Linked DNA regions of Nothobranchius furzeri. The protein of the gene in region 1 purifies or fractionates together with the protein of each later gene. This does not show direct contact. Links are inferred from orthologs where the notes say so. Each region holds a gene or a part of one and is shown in the gene's direction. Other genes may lie near its edges.

Evidence for each region. Proteins that work in one complex are often made in the same cells at the same time.
Region 2: the proteins of suclg2 (region 1) and suclg1 fractionate together in Homo sapiens (co-fractionation; 6 studies listed by BioGRID and IntAct, counting the BioPlex papers as one, with this or other methods). This does not show direct contact. The link is inferred for Nothobranchius furzeri from reciprocal best matches to the Homo sapiens genes SUCLG2 and SUCLG1.
Region 3: the proteins of suclg2 (region 1) and hscb purify together in Homo sapiens (affinity purification with mass spectrometry; 3 studies listed by BioGRID and IntAct, with this or other methods). This does not show direct contact. The link is inferred for Nothobranchius furzeri from reciprocal best matches to the Homo sapiens genes SUCLG2 and HSCB.

The regions. Positions count from the first base shown.
Region 1 is NC_091743.1:57,261,478-57,265,848, reverse strand, and holds part of suclg2 (succinate--CoA ligase [GDP-forming] subunit beta, mitochondrial), read left to right. Parts: intron 1-749; coding exon 750-911; intron 912-1,915; coding exon 1,916-2,058; intron 2,059-4,371. UniProt on the Homo sapiens protein: GTP-specific succinyl-CoA synthetase functions in the citric acid cycle (TCA), coupling the hydrolysis of succinyl-CoA to the synthesis of GTP and thus represents the only step of substrate-level phosphorylation in the TCA.
Region 2 is NC_091746.1:79,666,869-79,671,674, reverse strand, and holds the start of suclg1 (succinate--CoA ligase [ADP/GDP-forming] subunit alpha, mitochondrial), read left to right. Parts: upstream 1-1,467; 5' UTR 1,468-1,561; coding exon 1,562-1,595; intron 1,596-3,882; coding exon 3,883-3,983; intron 3,984-4,806. Other genes in the region: cisd2 (CDGSH iron-sulfur domain-containing protein 2), read right to left, coding at 1-11. UniProt on the Homo sapiens protein: Succinyl-CoA synthetase functions in the citric acid cycle (TCA), coupling the hydrolysis of succinyl-CoA to the synthesis of either ATP or GTP and thus represents the only step of substrate-level phosphorylation in the TCA.
Region 3 is NC_091750.1:33,251,804-33,256,943, forward strand, and holds the start of hscb (iron-sulfur cluster co-chaperone protein HscB), read left to right. Parts: upstream 1-1,801; 5' UTR 1,802-1,806; coding exon 1,807-2,168; intron 2,169-2,255; coding exon 2,256-2,352; intron 2,353-5,140.

The DNA.
Region 1 (4,371 bases):
TCATAGATGTTATGTTCATCAAGATCAGCTGTGAGTTGTTTAGCCATAACCTTTTCCAAGATCTTGGAGATGAACGGAAGTTAAGAGATGGGTCTGAAGCAGCTATGGAGAGAGGCGTCAAGTCTCGTTTTTTTTTTTTTTTTTTTAAGCGGGTGGATTACAGCGTTCTTAAAGTAAGCAGGGACCTGAACAGAAACCAGAGAATCATTAATAATGGAGAGCACGCTGGGACCGATGGACTGAAAATCACTTTTATACAAAGATGAGGGTAAAATGTCGAGGGGGCATGCAGAGGTCTTCATAGAGTTAACTAGTTTGGTTAACTCAGGCAAAGAAACAGGAGCAAAGCTATCTAGGATGATGGGCCTGGTTGGCGTCGAGAGAGGCTGAAGGAGAGATGCTAGATCTAACCTTATTTACTTTGTCCACAAAGAAAGACAAAGTTCTCACAGTCTTTAACAGAGTGGATGGAGGCTGTCGGAGAGGCAGGAGAGACAATGATGCTGATGGTGTTAAACAGCACCTTGGGGTTCCCTTTGCTCTGGGACACCAGGTTGGAAAAATAGGAAACCCTCGCGTCTCTGACTACAGAGTTAAAGGATGCCTGAAGGTCCTTTAGGTGCAGGGCTATCTTTTCATATCTTAATACTTTTTGTCATGATTGCCAGCTTTGTATTCTCTTTTTTTGTTGTTGTTGCTGTTGTTCATTATGCAAACCAGCTCTTTATCTACTTGTGTATTTTTCCTAGTGGTTTGCTTTGATGCCAAGATCAACTTTGACGATAACGCTGAGTTTCGTCAGAAGTCTGTGTTTGCCATGGATGACATGTCTGAGAGTGACCCCACAGAGATGGAGGCAGCCAAGTGGGACCTCAAATATATTGGAATGGACGGAAACATTGCCTGCTTCGGTATGACTGCAAAGCCCTTTAACGCACGCTCACCAACAAATAAATGCATCCTCCTCCTTAAGCATTCACCTTCTGGCATAGGACTTTAATGCCCCTCTTTAATTGCTTAAGTAAAAGCTCTGACACAGTTAAAACTTAGACAAACTAAAGGCTGCCCGGGTTCTCCTCCCGTCAATGTTACAAGCAGCTTTCTGAAGACTAGAATGAACACTGCCATAACCAATGCATTCTAAATAGCTATAATCCACCCAGAAAGTCTCTAGTGAGGCAGATTGTTAGCATTCTCATTAAAGGGCTCCTCTCCTGTCATAAATCAAAGCTTTTACAGTGTACAGCAGCACTAACAGGTGCTCTCGCTCCTTACCCCATAGCCTCATAAACACATTAGATGTCTGTTAGCGCTACTCCCCCTCCGTGCATACGCTCGCAGCTGATTCTGCATCCACCGCTCCCACACTCTTAGAGTAACAACAGCTTTTAAGACCCCGCAGCTTCTGTGAGAGCTCTGTAAGCCACCAAAGTGACAGCTGTTAAGGCAAATTTCCCTTTTATTGAGACCTCAGTCGGGGAGCTTGCCAGGACACAAGTTCAGCTTGGCTAAACTAAATGAGGTACGACGTATGACCCAGCAGGGTAGTAGTGCTGGCAGTAGGTTAAATGATACAGGCCACAAAAGCACAGTGCATTCTCATTTAGTCAAATCTTGTCTCTGAGGTTTATTGGTGGATTCCGTATCATTTTCTTTGATTTCTTTAACTGTTTTCCTTATTAGATGACTTGCAGTAGATCTAAATGTGGCTTTTTCTTAAACTATTTAAATCCAGTAATGTTTTAATTAACAATATTTGCAGTCATCACCCACTTATCTCAGTTTTATCTCAGATCTCTTAACCCTCTTCCTCTTGGAAAACATGTCCTTCATTCATTCAGTTGGTCATTTATTAAGGAATTCCATGGAGGAATACAAAATGATGGCCTTTTTGGGATGTTTGCTTTCCAAACAGTGAATGGAGCTGGTTTGGCCATGGCAACATGTGACATCATAGACCTGCATGGGGGAAAGCCGGCTAACTTCCTGGACCTTGGAGGTGGAGTCAAAGAGAGGCAGGTGTATGAGGCTTTTAAGCTGCTGACTGCTGACCCTAAGGTAGGTGCTGACTTCTGAAAAACATGTTGGCTTTTATTTTTTCTCAAGTTTTACCATAATAACAGATCACATAAGCCAAACTCATCCTTAGGCATTCCCTGAAAAATTTACATTGTGTCCATTGCTTGTTTGCATTTATTGGTGAGGGTTTCTTTTATAATTCACAAGTCTTTCTCTTTGTGGTTCTCTCCTTGCTTCTGAGACAGAAGCTCTCAGTAGAGAGAAGGTCCTTGGCATTTGGCTACTGTGTTGATATAAACCTTCATTTCTTAGACTAGCTCAATCATGATAAATGATAAATGGCCCGCACTTGTATAGCGCCTCTCAGAGAAAGGACTCCAAAGTGCTTTACACTACAGTGTATCATTCATCCATTCACACACACATTCACACACTGATGGTAATGAGCTACAATGTAGCCACAGCTGCCCTGGGGCACACTGACAGAGGCAAGGACGAATCATTACCGTGCAATGAATTTGTGTCTTATAGACTTATTTTGATGAAGATCGTCATGTGCATATTAACACACAACATAGTCAATCAAAGCCTGCGTCTGAGAGTCTTATCTCTGTGTGAGTGACAGCTGGGGGCGTTTTACAAATTATTCTACTCTATGTTCAGAAATCTAATAAATCCAGACTAAACAACCTGAGCCTTGTAATTATACTGCTGGGCTGATGGTGTGTTGACAGTCATCACATTTCTAATTCCCTCACTGCTGTCGTTCCCATATCCCTGCCCTGGTCTATGGTTGCCTTTGTGTTAGCATCTCGGGCAGGCCTTTAATACGTGAGAAAACAGAGAAAAGCTAACTGAAAGTTAACTTCTCTGTCCAAATTTTTATAAATGTATTCATCACTATAACAAGTGTCTTTTTTTGACTTGACTGTAAGTGATCTGCAGATTGTGTTTCATACTAATTACTAGCAGTGGTAGCTCATCTGATATTGTTTTCACCTCATGTGAACTTGTCAAAACACATCCTCAGAGAAACCTAATGTGTAACTCAATAGCTTTAAATAAAAGGCAGTCACAGAACTTGATGTGAAATGTTGACTTTTGTACTAATACCAGTATGTTAGATATGCTAGGTGTAAAATGAGAACTTTCCTTTGTGATCAGGGTATCTATATGTTCTGTTGTTTGTTGTCCCCATTCTCCCTCTGCACCTGTGAGTCGTGAGCACCAGACGCGCATTTTGCTCAAATATTTATAAGTCTCAATGTCGACACGCTGACTGGTGGTGGAGAAACTCGGGATTCTTTCAGAAGTTGATTTATGTCTTATCTTCACATTTGTCTTTGTAAGAAAATACAGTGGGTAAAAGTAGACAAAGTTTTAGTGTCTGATTCCTTCTGGTTTCGGTCTTTAGCAGCTCAAAGTGTACAAATGAAAATATATAATCTTGAAATTAGCTGTAATAGTATTTTTATGCAGTAACATGGAATCATGTTATTCATAATACACATATCTGCTGAAAACACTAAAAATCTCCTCACGTTAGGCCATACCATTACTTTATTAAGATGGCTTAAGTTTTTTTGAACTTTTTCAAACATTGCACTGTATGATCCAATTAACGTTGCATATTGTATGAAAACAGCAACTCCATGAAGTGATTGGATCCAATTTACTTCCAGTACTGGTCACTGGTGAGAAAGAAAGAACCAAAACAACACAAACTGCAGCGAGTTGACCGATAATGAGATAATGGCATTCCAATGTTAATTTGAGCTCTAAATGATCTTGAATATGTATATATTGTCTTAAACTAACCAAAGTAAAACTAACTCAGGGATTATATAAATGGCGCTCACAAGATTTTCATTGTTGGTCTCTTAAGCCAGGCATCAGCTTCTCATAAAATAGTCACTGGATAAAAATAGCCCAGCAAAGAGTTGGTGCCGTATCACAAAGTAGGTCAACAACAGAGATCTGGAGCTAAATTTGACCAGTTACTATAATAGCAGTGACCATGACACCCCCGTTGAAAATGTTTCTGACAAAACTCAATGAAAGATGTCTTTACTTGAATGAATACCAACACCATAAAATGTTGCAATGACTATCCAAACATACAATGTAAAAAAAAATTATATATATACATATATATATGTGTGTGTGTGTGTGTGTGTGTGTGTGTGTGTGTGTGTGTGTGTGTGTGTGTGTGTGTGTGTGTGTGTGTGTGTGTGTGTGTGTGTGTGTGTGTAGCTGTAAAAGAAAACCCACTGAGGAAACTTAAATTACCAATGTAGGCAGGCCAGTGTTGGACACCTTTGTAGATAAAATTGAAAAAAAAAATTGCTCACT
Region 2 (4,806 bases), on another chromosome or scaffold:
TCTAAAACCATCTTGAGTCGCTCACCAGAGACTGGGTTTTGTTGTTTGACTTGGGTAGTTCCTGGGGTTCGTTTATGTCACTGCGCTCTTTTACCAGCGTAGACGCGCGGTACGTAAAACCACACACATGTCTACGTGCAAGATGGTGCAAGCTGACGAAGCGGAGCGCAGTTGTTTTCTGTGAATACACGTAAAGATGTCACGTGATGATTTCACACAACCAATCAGCGTCGGAAGAGTTGGTGGCTCCTGATTGGACAACTTGAATTAGACAGGAAGGTCTTTGAGAGGTTCATTTTAAAAAGGGACACCACTGTGTTTACATAACCTTCCTGTCAATGAAAACCTGTTGATTAGTTTTTTAAAAAGTCACACAGAACAATTTGTATGTTTGCTGCAAAACATTTAAACCGAGAAAGAACTAAAGAAAATTAGATAACCAAGGGTTATGTTATTTATGCAGAATGTAGAAACACTAACAGCAGATGATGAACTGACAAAGGCAGACAAGCATGAGCATCAAGAATCAGAAGAAGCAAATAATTCTGACCCAGTAAGTAGTTCATAAATAATTTAATAGGATTATTACTATTATTACAATAATAATAATAATAATAATAATAATAATAATAATAATAATAATAATAATAATAATTATTATTATTATTATTATTGAGATATCATACAGTTTAGTGCATATCTAACCAGTAATGCATGTGCACTAGTTTAAGTCTCAACAGGAAACGTTCCACTGAAGAAACATGTTCCTAAATAATTTAATTATAGTAATAAAAAGTAAGTCAGATTTTAATTATAATACAACATATTTTCTTAATATTCTGCTGCTGTCAAATTTTAAACAGCTTTAAACAAATTTTTTTTCTATTTACACAAGGGCTTTGTCTATCTCTGAAGTTTTTTCTGATGATTTTTATAGCTATTAAAAAGTCCAACACAATGTTTTAACGCAAGTTTACATGGGTGACTGTAACTACAATAACCTTAACATTTGGTTAGTGTGGAATTTGTTATAAAAATTTTATTTTGTGAAATGGTAATGTTTTAATTGTGTGAGTTGTTTCAAGAAACAGCAACATTGCCACAGAAAATAAATCGACATAAAATGTCAGTTTTATTTCATTTTCCAGAAGTTGCTGATAAATGTGTAATGTGTGTAAAATATGTTTTTATGCATATATTCAAATATATTTGCAACTTCTATCCCTTTACCTCATGAGATACAGACGCCATCTAGTGCTGGCACTTGTTCTGTTCACTAGATTTGTGAAGGACTTCATTACCCAGAGTGCATTGTATCCTGAAGACACTTGCTGCAGCGCCTGCCTCAAAAGAAACAAGTAACAAAATAAACGTCGGTGTCTGTCTGCTATCTGTTTCTTACGCAATAAAATTCCAAAAAGGAAGGGACCCATCTAATTTTCCAACTGACCGATATTTTTTGAAGTTTAATCGAATCTCTAAATTGTTCAGGCAAATTTTAAGTTAGCTAACTTCCCACTGTAGGCCCCCAACCGCTTGTGTCATTGGTGAATGACCGAAGATGTCTCACAGCAGGTTATTTGCCAAGCTGCTTTGTAAGTATTTTAACATTTTGCTATTTTATTGTCATGAACAGTTCAAGCATAGTCTCAGTAAAATATGAACATTTTTTGGTTCTTAGCTGGTCATTATTGATAAAGACTCATACAGCCTTCCACAGAGTAAACTACTGCCACTTGGCTCCCATGCTAGCTAGCTACATTTGTCGGCGCTGTATGAAATGATGATAATCGTAAGCTCATTGACTATTAGCGATCAAGTTAGCAGGCTAAGTTTTCAGGAAGGTCCCACAAACAATCTACTTCCCCTTTGATAATTTATCTGGACTTTAAAGCGTCTGTTAATAGCTGTGAAGGGGTCAACTTTGTCAGAGTTAATGATTTAGCACAAGAAAAACATCCACTCTGCAGGAAAATGTTTTTGATGGATCCGAATTTGAAAACGCTTTTCGCTGAATAATTCTGCATAGGTTACGATTTGTTTTTATTAACAAACACCTCCTGTTTTGTAGTATACTTCCCTATTCACGTGGAGGGATTGAACTTTACACTGAGTAATTGCAGGTGTCAGTAAAACACAGAATGAGGATCAAAGTGCAGTCTCAAGAGCTGCAGCAGGGGCTGTAATATTAGTTCGTTCATTACTCATCTAATATGTTACTTTGTCTCATTGCTTGAATTAGAACAACATTTTTCTGTTCGGTGATCCTGCATAAGGTTTCTCAGTCATCGAGTATTGACTTTTATTTGTTGCGCGATTTAACATATTTGCTTGTAAAAATGCCAATCATTTCAAATTAAATGCCGTTTGGCTTTAAAATATTTGTGGCCAATCTTATTTCTGCTTGTTTTGATTTGGACATTAAACATGCAGTTTTTCATTTAAACATTCTGTAATTTAATCTGTAGTCTGTATTAAGTGAATTTTCTTTTAATCATAGTGACATTAGCTTCCGTTGTTGTTTGTATTTGTTTTAAAGTGCTTTCTTAAAGAGCAATTCACCTCCTACCAGAGTCTCACTCCACTCCCACTTCCTGTTTGAAAAATGCAACAAATGCTGTGCACCTCTTACCCGATAGCGATGGCAGATTTAAATTCAAACGCAGTGCAGAGTTTTTACCTGAAGAGGGTGTAACACTGACAGCTTTAGGCAGAAGATTTAAAATTGAATTAAAATGCAGTAAAGGGACATATTATTGTCTATGCGTGTCTACAGCACGATTAGACACTCATTTATATAGTTTATCAGCAAAAAAAGTTGATTTGGGGTGACGTGCTGTTCAAGGAGTTGCAATCTGCAAAAGTGGTGACTGTTTTGGTGGTCACATTGGCTTCTGAAAGTAAACTTTGAGGCTCCAGCAAAAATCTTTTCAACATTGGTCAGTGAATTAGTTAGCAAAATGTCAGAAAGCGAGGGGAGGCAAAGGAAACCACGCACTCCCAGAGCTCAACTTGACATTTCAAAAGCTGTAAACAGCAAATTGTTTGGATCTTTTGCTCAATAATCAGCTGGTGCAATTAAATTATTTTCTTTTGTTTTGTTGATTACGTTTCTGTTGATTGACATAATGATCAACAAGCAATCAAGGCATGCTTTTCTTGGACTGTACTTTATTTGTGTGCACTCAAGTCAGTGAATACTTATGTTTTGATTTTTAGTTTGAAGCATGTGGCTCATTAGTTTTTATGTCTGTTGAATGCTGTTTTGGGCTAGTTTTACACACTCCGTGATCTAATTAGTTATCACAAGTTATTTAATTTTTCTGATTTAATACGGCTCAGCGTGGAATTCGAAAATGTGACCTTCATCCTAAATCAAGTTAGAAGCAGCTGTTATTCTGAGCAAAACTAGAGTGAATGTGTGTGCTGTACATGAATGTCTGATATTTTGACCTTTAACAAAAGCAATAAATTCAATATGTTCATATTGCATTATTAATTCATAGTTGCATTTTTTGTTTTATAGATTTTAAAAGGCAGTCAGGTCTGGAAAAAGCTGATAGTGTTGTTCAGCAACTGTACAAGAATCTGCTGCCAAAACACTACAGAGCATTTGAGTAGACAGAGAATACTGTCCTCAAAGAAAACTGGTAACATTTTAATAATCACTGTAAAAATAATGAGAGTTGGTGTTTCTGGGAACTTAGCAGGAATTCACATTTTGTAGAAATTTCAGAAAATCTTTTGTAGCAGCTTATTGTTTCTTTATGCAGCACAAAGAATGTTTCCGACAAATGGAAATAGAATGATTTGAGTCTGAAACTTAACCTGTGTGTTTATCTAACATCCGGTTGCTTTCCCTTTCCTTTTCAATCCTCTCAGTGCAGCACAGTGGAGTCAGACACTGTTATACTGGAACAAGAAAGAACCTCTACATCAATAAGAACACCAAGGTCATCTGCCAGGGTTTCACAGGAAAGCAGGTTTGTATTGACGGCTCAACTATAATCTTACTTCACATCAGTTTATCTTACTGTAATCCTATTGTGAAACTCTGGTTTCCCCTACTGCCTCAAAAACTCCCTCCACCCTTTTTTCTGTCATTTTCTTTCTTACTAAGCTTCCTAGGAGAGTGTGAATATTGTCACACATGTTTTTTTTTATCCCATTGACGTTTTCACCTCTGAGCTGAACATATCTGTGCGTGCGTGCGTGCGTGCGTGCACTTGGTGGAAGTGCATGTCAGGCTTCGAGTGCATAGTAAACAGGTCAGCAAAAAACTGTAGAATTGGGACAGTGAGGAATTGGTCATCAACCCGCGCTACTGCGTTGTACCTCTGTGACTTCCTAAATGGGATTGCCGGTCACTGTTTGTACTAGTTTGCTACTTGACATAATAAAACAAGTTATTGAATTACTCTCATGTCCATCCATCCATTCTCCTCCGCTTATACGAGGTTGGGTTGCAGGGGCAGCAGCCTGATTGGGGGGGGGGGGGGGGGGGGGGTACCCTGCAGTAGGGCTGCAACGATTTGTCGACGTTGTCGACAAATATCGACAATAGAAATAGTCAACAATGACTGTCATTGTCGATGTTGTCGCCAGACGTGTTTTTTTCCGACCGAGTGAGTTATTTCACTTCATTACAATCTCTGCCGAGAGTCGCACATGCGCAATAGCTTCTCTGCTGAGCATAAACCAACAGAAATGAAGGCGTCCAACACAGCAGCTACGCGTACCAAAACATCTAAAGTTTTGGAGCATTTTAGCCTGGATTCGGCGAATAAAAATTTTACCTGCATTATT
Region 3 (5,140 bases), on another chromosome or scaffold:
GGTTTCTCCATGTTCTGAAAACTATCGGCCATCCATCTTACAGAATGATGCTGCTATTACATCAGGACTTACACAGAAGTTGTTAAATAAGCTAACTACTGTAACTAGAGGAAAAGCCCCTCAATGCACCCCTAACCTGCACATGTAAGTGCTGACATTCAACATGACCAAATAAAAACTATATCATCAAGAAACGAGTTGTGCTAATTAAGACAAAAACTGTTGCTGAGTGATATAAAAATACCTTTACTTACAAATTAAAATTGTAAAGCATAACGCCATTCATCAACGATGATCCATAACTACTCTCCTTTACGTCCGCTGTCCATGAAAACCAGCTCCAGCCCTTTGAATCAACCTTTTGCCTCGAGCAACCGAACCACACCCAACCAGCAAGCTAAAGAAGCCACTCTTCTAAAGATGATATTCCGTTTTGGCTTGTTTAACTCAAACAACGCAAGCGCCAGAAGAGCTACCTTGCTCCCCTGCTCTCTATTCTTAGCCATTTCCTTTAATAATAACCAGAGTATTGTCTGCTGGGTCCTTGAGAAGCACCTCCCTCGACCTTCAGGAAGAGATCCTGTTTACCTTACGGATGCTTCTGTCTCCAACTAGTGTCTCTCTGGAATACTCTGCCGTCACCTTTTGTACTTCTACCACTCTAAACCACACACACACACACACACACACACACACACACACACACACACACACACACACACACACACACACACACACATCAAAGATTGTACTTTGCTAAGAAACTTTTAAGGTCATGAGTTGTTCAGGAGTTTGATATTTTGCCAAAAGCCAAACTTAAAATGATTCCAGTTCCTTGAAACTTGTACGTACCTAAGATCATGCTCACAGCAGTGATATAGATGGATGGATTGTGCAGCAGGGCTGCGCAGTGGCTAGAGCTGTTGCCTTGCAGCAAGAAGGTTCTGGGTTCGCTTCCCGGCCTGGGATCTTTCTGCATGGAGTTTGCATGTTCTCCCTGTGCGTGCGTGGGTTCTCTCCGGGTACTCTGGCTTCCTCCCACAGTCCAAAAACATGACTGTTAGGTTGATTGGTCTGTCTATATTGTCCTTAGGTGTGTGTGTGTGTGTGTGTGTGTGTGCATGGTTGTTTGTCCTGTGTGTCTCTGTGTTGCCCTGCGATGGACTGGCTCTCGTCCAGGGTGTACCCCGCCTGATAGCCCGTTGACCGCTGGAGATAGGCACCGGCTTTAATATAACGACGCCTACTGCACATCACTGACAGCAGCAACTATTCGGGCTAAACCCACAGCAGAAAGTTAGAGCTAAGTGACATTTTATTAGGCAAACATACCCTGTCTACAAGAAGCCTCGACTTTTATTTTCTAACATAAACCCTATTCACCTGCAGGGCGGGACAGACAGTAAACATTATACTGTTACTGTTAGAAACACGTTAGCTAACGAGCTGTGAAGCTACTCAGCTACATGTTGACTGACGCGTATCTCTGCCGTCGGAAGTTTGTATGCTAGCTAACGCTGCGGCGCTCTTACATCCCAAACAAACAACAAAGCTGGTGTCGTTGACTTACTTTGGATTATTTGCTGAATTCGAATTCAATATCACTTAAAAGTTTAATACTCGTAAATAGTTTTTACCGATGCTGGTTAAGCTAATGTTTTGTTTCCCAGCACCTCCGAGACGCATACGTCATCAAGCCGCGCGGTGGCACTGTCGCGTTTAAGAAACGTAGAAGAAGACCCATTCTTCCTCTGCTGTTATAGGCACAGAGGTGTGAATGTTTTGATTAGGACTTTGCTGTTAGGCATGTTTCCACTTGGCTCTCTGCGGATTATATGTTCACCTCGGGCTGCGCGACACCCGCCCTGGACGAGGAAGCATGGAGCGTCTCTTCCAAACGCTGCCACGTTAAGTCCCAGCATGGCAGCCAGCTTCCACAGCAACAACCCTCCTTGGCACAACGGCGTGAACTTCAGAGAATTTGGAAAAGTAGAATTTTATTACACTAAAACGGTCTTTTCATCCAAAAGTTGCTGCACAAGTCAGATTAAACCGCACTGCTGGAACTGTAAGCGACTTCTAGAGAAAACGTCCACATTCTTCTGCAAGTCATGCCAGGCAATCCAACCCCCCGAGGAAGGAACCACCTACTTCAAAATAATGGACTGGTTAGTGTCTTACATCACTTCAAATCAGCCATTTCTAAATGAGCTGTCATTCAATTTCATTTCATTGTGTGCTGCCCCTTTTTGCAGTGACTACACTTTCACACTGGACACCCACAAGCTGCAGACAAGATACTTGCAGCTTCAGCGATCTCTTCATCCCGACAACTTCAGCCAGAAGTCTGTGGTAGGCAGGGGAAATGATGACCAGTTTGGTGAAATGGTTCACGCGTCAAACCAGGCTCTGTTATCGATTAGTTGGACTGTGGAGCTGCAGACAAAGCATGTATATCATATGATGCTGTTTTAAACCTTTGAGAGCAAAGTGGGCAGTGTAAATAAAGCGGTTTGTTTTGGTGAAACTGCCCAAGCCCACTCTGACAAGATGTGCCTACAGCAGTGATTCAGTTGCTGTACTGGTTATGGTGGTCCAGTGGTTAAGGTATTCAGCCCAGCACTCGTAACAACTGGACTACCAAGTCTGCTACGTGACGGTCGCCTAAGCCACATATCCTGTGCTGACCAGCTGAATTAGGTTTCATACCAGAGACTATCTTCCGGGAGAGGAGCAGGGCCTGATGATTAGTTTCCATTCATGTGCAGCTGAAACAGGAAAATGCATTAACACAACCCAAAACGGGTTTGTTTGTGTAACAGTATCACGGTCAAAAGCTCCAAAAAGTGGATTTTTCCTGATAAGGCGTTTCCAAGGTTACGTTGACTGTATTAGACAATACAGAGCAACATCAAAAGAGTCATCATAAACCAAACAACAACAACAAACACCCATTTATTTTCTACTGTACATTCTGTTCTTTGCTCGATGTAAAACCACTCCCAAAGGATCCATCCATCCACCCATTTTCTGAACCCGCTTTGCGACCCAATAAAAAAATGAAAAGAAGCAGGTCTGAAAACGACATCTGAGGCTTATAGATGGTTTACTAATATTGGGTAAAACTCAAGTATTTTTCAAAGCTTCAGATGTTTTAAGGTATTTCATTATGACTGAGCCTTTTAAAAGAGAAGGAACAAAGGAAGACCTTTGATTTACTTGGTGAACACGGCTGCAAAAAGAGCCCAAAGATCACACCTTCAGTTCAGCAAACCTTTAACGTTTTATAATGTTCTCATATCCATTACCCGTTTACACAGCATCAGGTTCATGAGCATGAGATTCAAGGCTTCATTGTCCTTTTGTACAAAGGAAACGTGCACAATAAAATTCATAATTTGTGTAATTGTAATGATTTAGACAGTTAAAGCCGAGTATGAAGATAAAAAAGATGCGTGAAAAATGCAATAACTGAAATTCCCACTTTTGGCCTTTTTTTCAAGGTTTCAGCTTTAAGTTTGAACTTTTGTTGTGTAAAAACAAAAGGAGGCATGGAGAATATTATAGGTAATCCACATTTAGGAGACAACATGGAAGAAAGAGGTTTTAACTGTTAATACCTGCATAACATCAAGCAGACATAATGTGAAACTGGACAGATTTCCAGTTGTCCGCATCACGCAGAAACACATTATGCACCAAAGAACAAGCACACTCGTTAGATAAGTCATTCATATCATTTTCTCAGCTGTAGATCTGAACAGAGAGGATCCTGATTTGTGTGAATGCATCCAGCGTCAGTGGAGCTTCTAGGCACATTAAGGTCTGCGCAGAGGTAGTTTGATTGTGTTTTATCTTTTTTAGTCGATGGGCCTACAAGCTGTAGGAACAAACCTCCAGGATGTTGTAATGGGAGCAGTTGCATAACGTTAGGAATTATTCTTGTTGCTGTATTGCTCATGCGCAAATATTCAGCAACAACAAAGGAAGACTCCGTCCACCGCCCTTCAGTAATTGCTGAATGAAGGCAGCTGTGGGATTTCCTATAAAATCCCAACATCAAAGACCGCAAAAAAAAGTCTCAGATTCAGCTCATTTACAGTATAGCGTGGTATAAAGTGTCTTTTAGGTTTTAGTTACTCGTGCTGCCCAAAATAAGCTTCGATCTCACTTATTTTTCTTCCCTGGGACATATTAATCTATAATTATATATTATACCTTACTATATTAATCTATAATTCTATATTATACCTTACTATATTAATCTATAATTCTATATTATACCTTACTATATTAATCTATATATTATACCTTACTATATCAATCTATAATTATATATTATACCTTACTATATTAATCTATAATTCTATATTATACCTTACTATATTAATCTATATATTATACCTTACTATATCAATCTATAATTATATATTATACCTTACTATATTAATCTATATATTATACCTTACTATATCAATCTATAATTATATATTATACCTTACTATATTAATCTATAATTCTATATTATACCTTACTATATTAATCTATAATTCTATATTATACCTTACTATATAAGCATTTAAATGAAAACTTGCAGAAAACAGGACTGATTTAAAATAACATAACCTTAAAACTAGAACTCCCAGAGAGTTGTCATTTGACTGGGTTGTTGTTATCTAGGATTCTTAAAAATGTGGCAGTTGCACGTGAATCGGTGGTGTGGTGACAATTCATTCAAAGATTCAAACATTTCAGGTTCCAAAATGTTTATTTTCATACTCCGGTCAAAAGATCAAAAATAACAAATGCATAAAAATCTACAGCTCAGAGCCTGAAAGATGATAGAGGGACAGAAAACGCATCGGAAAAGGGGAGACATGGGAGACAGAGGACATGAACAATTCCACATTTTTCAACATCCCATGCTAACCTTTTTTTTTATTTTCATTAAAAAAAAAATCTTAATTCTTCATTTTATCTTTATTTTTTTAATATATTTTACCTCTTTTATATTTGAATTGTTCTTTGAAGCGACTCGTGCATTTTTTCTTATTAAGTGCTATATAAAATCCTTTCTTGTCCTTTGTGTGCTTCTGTGAAGTCTTTGGATGGACAAGTTCAGCTGACCAGATTCAAGACA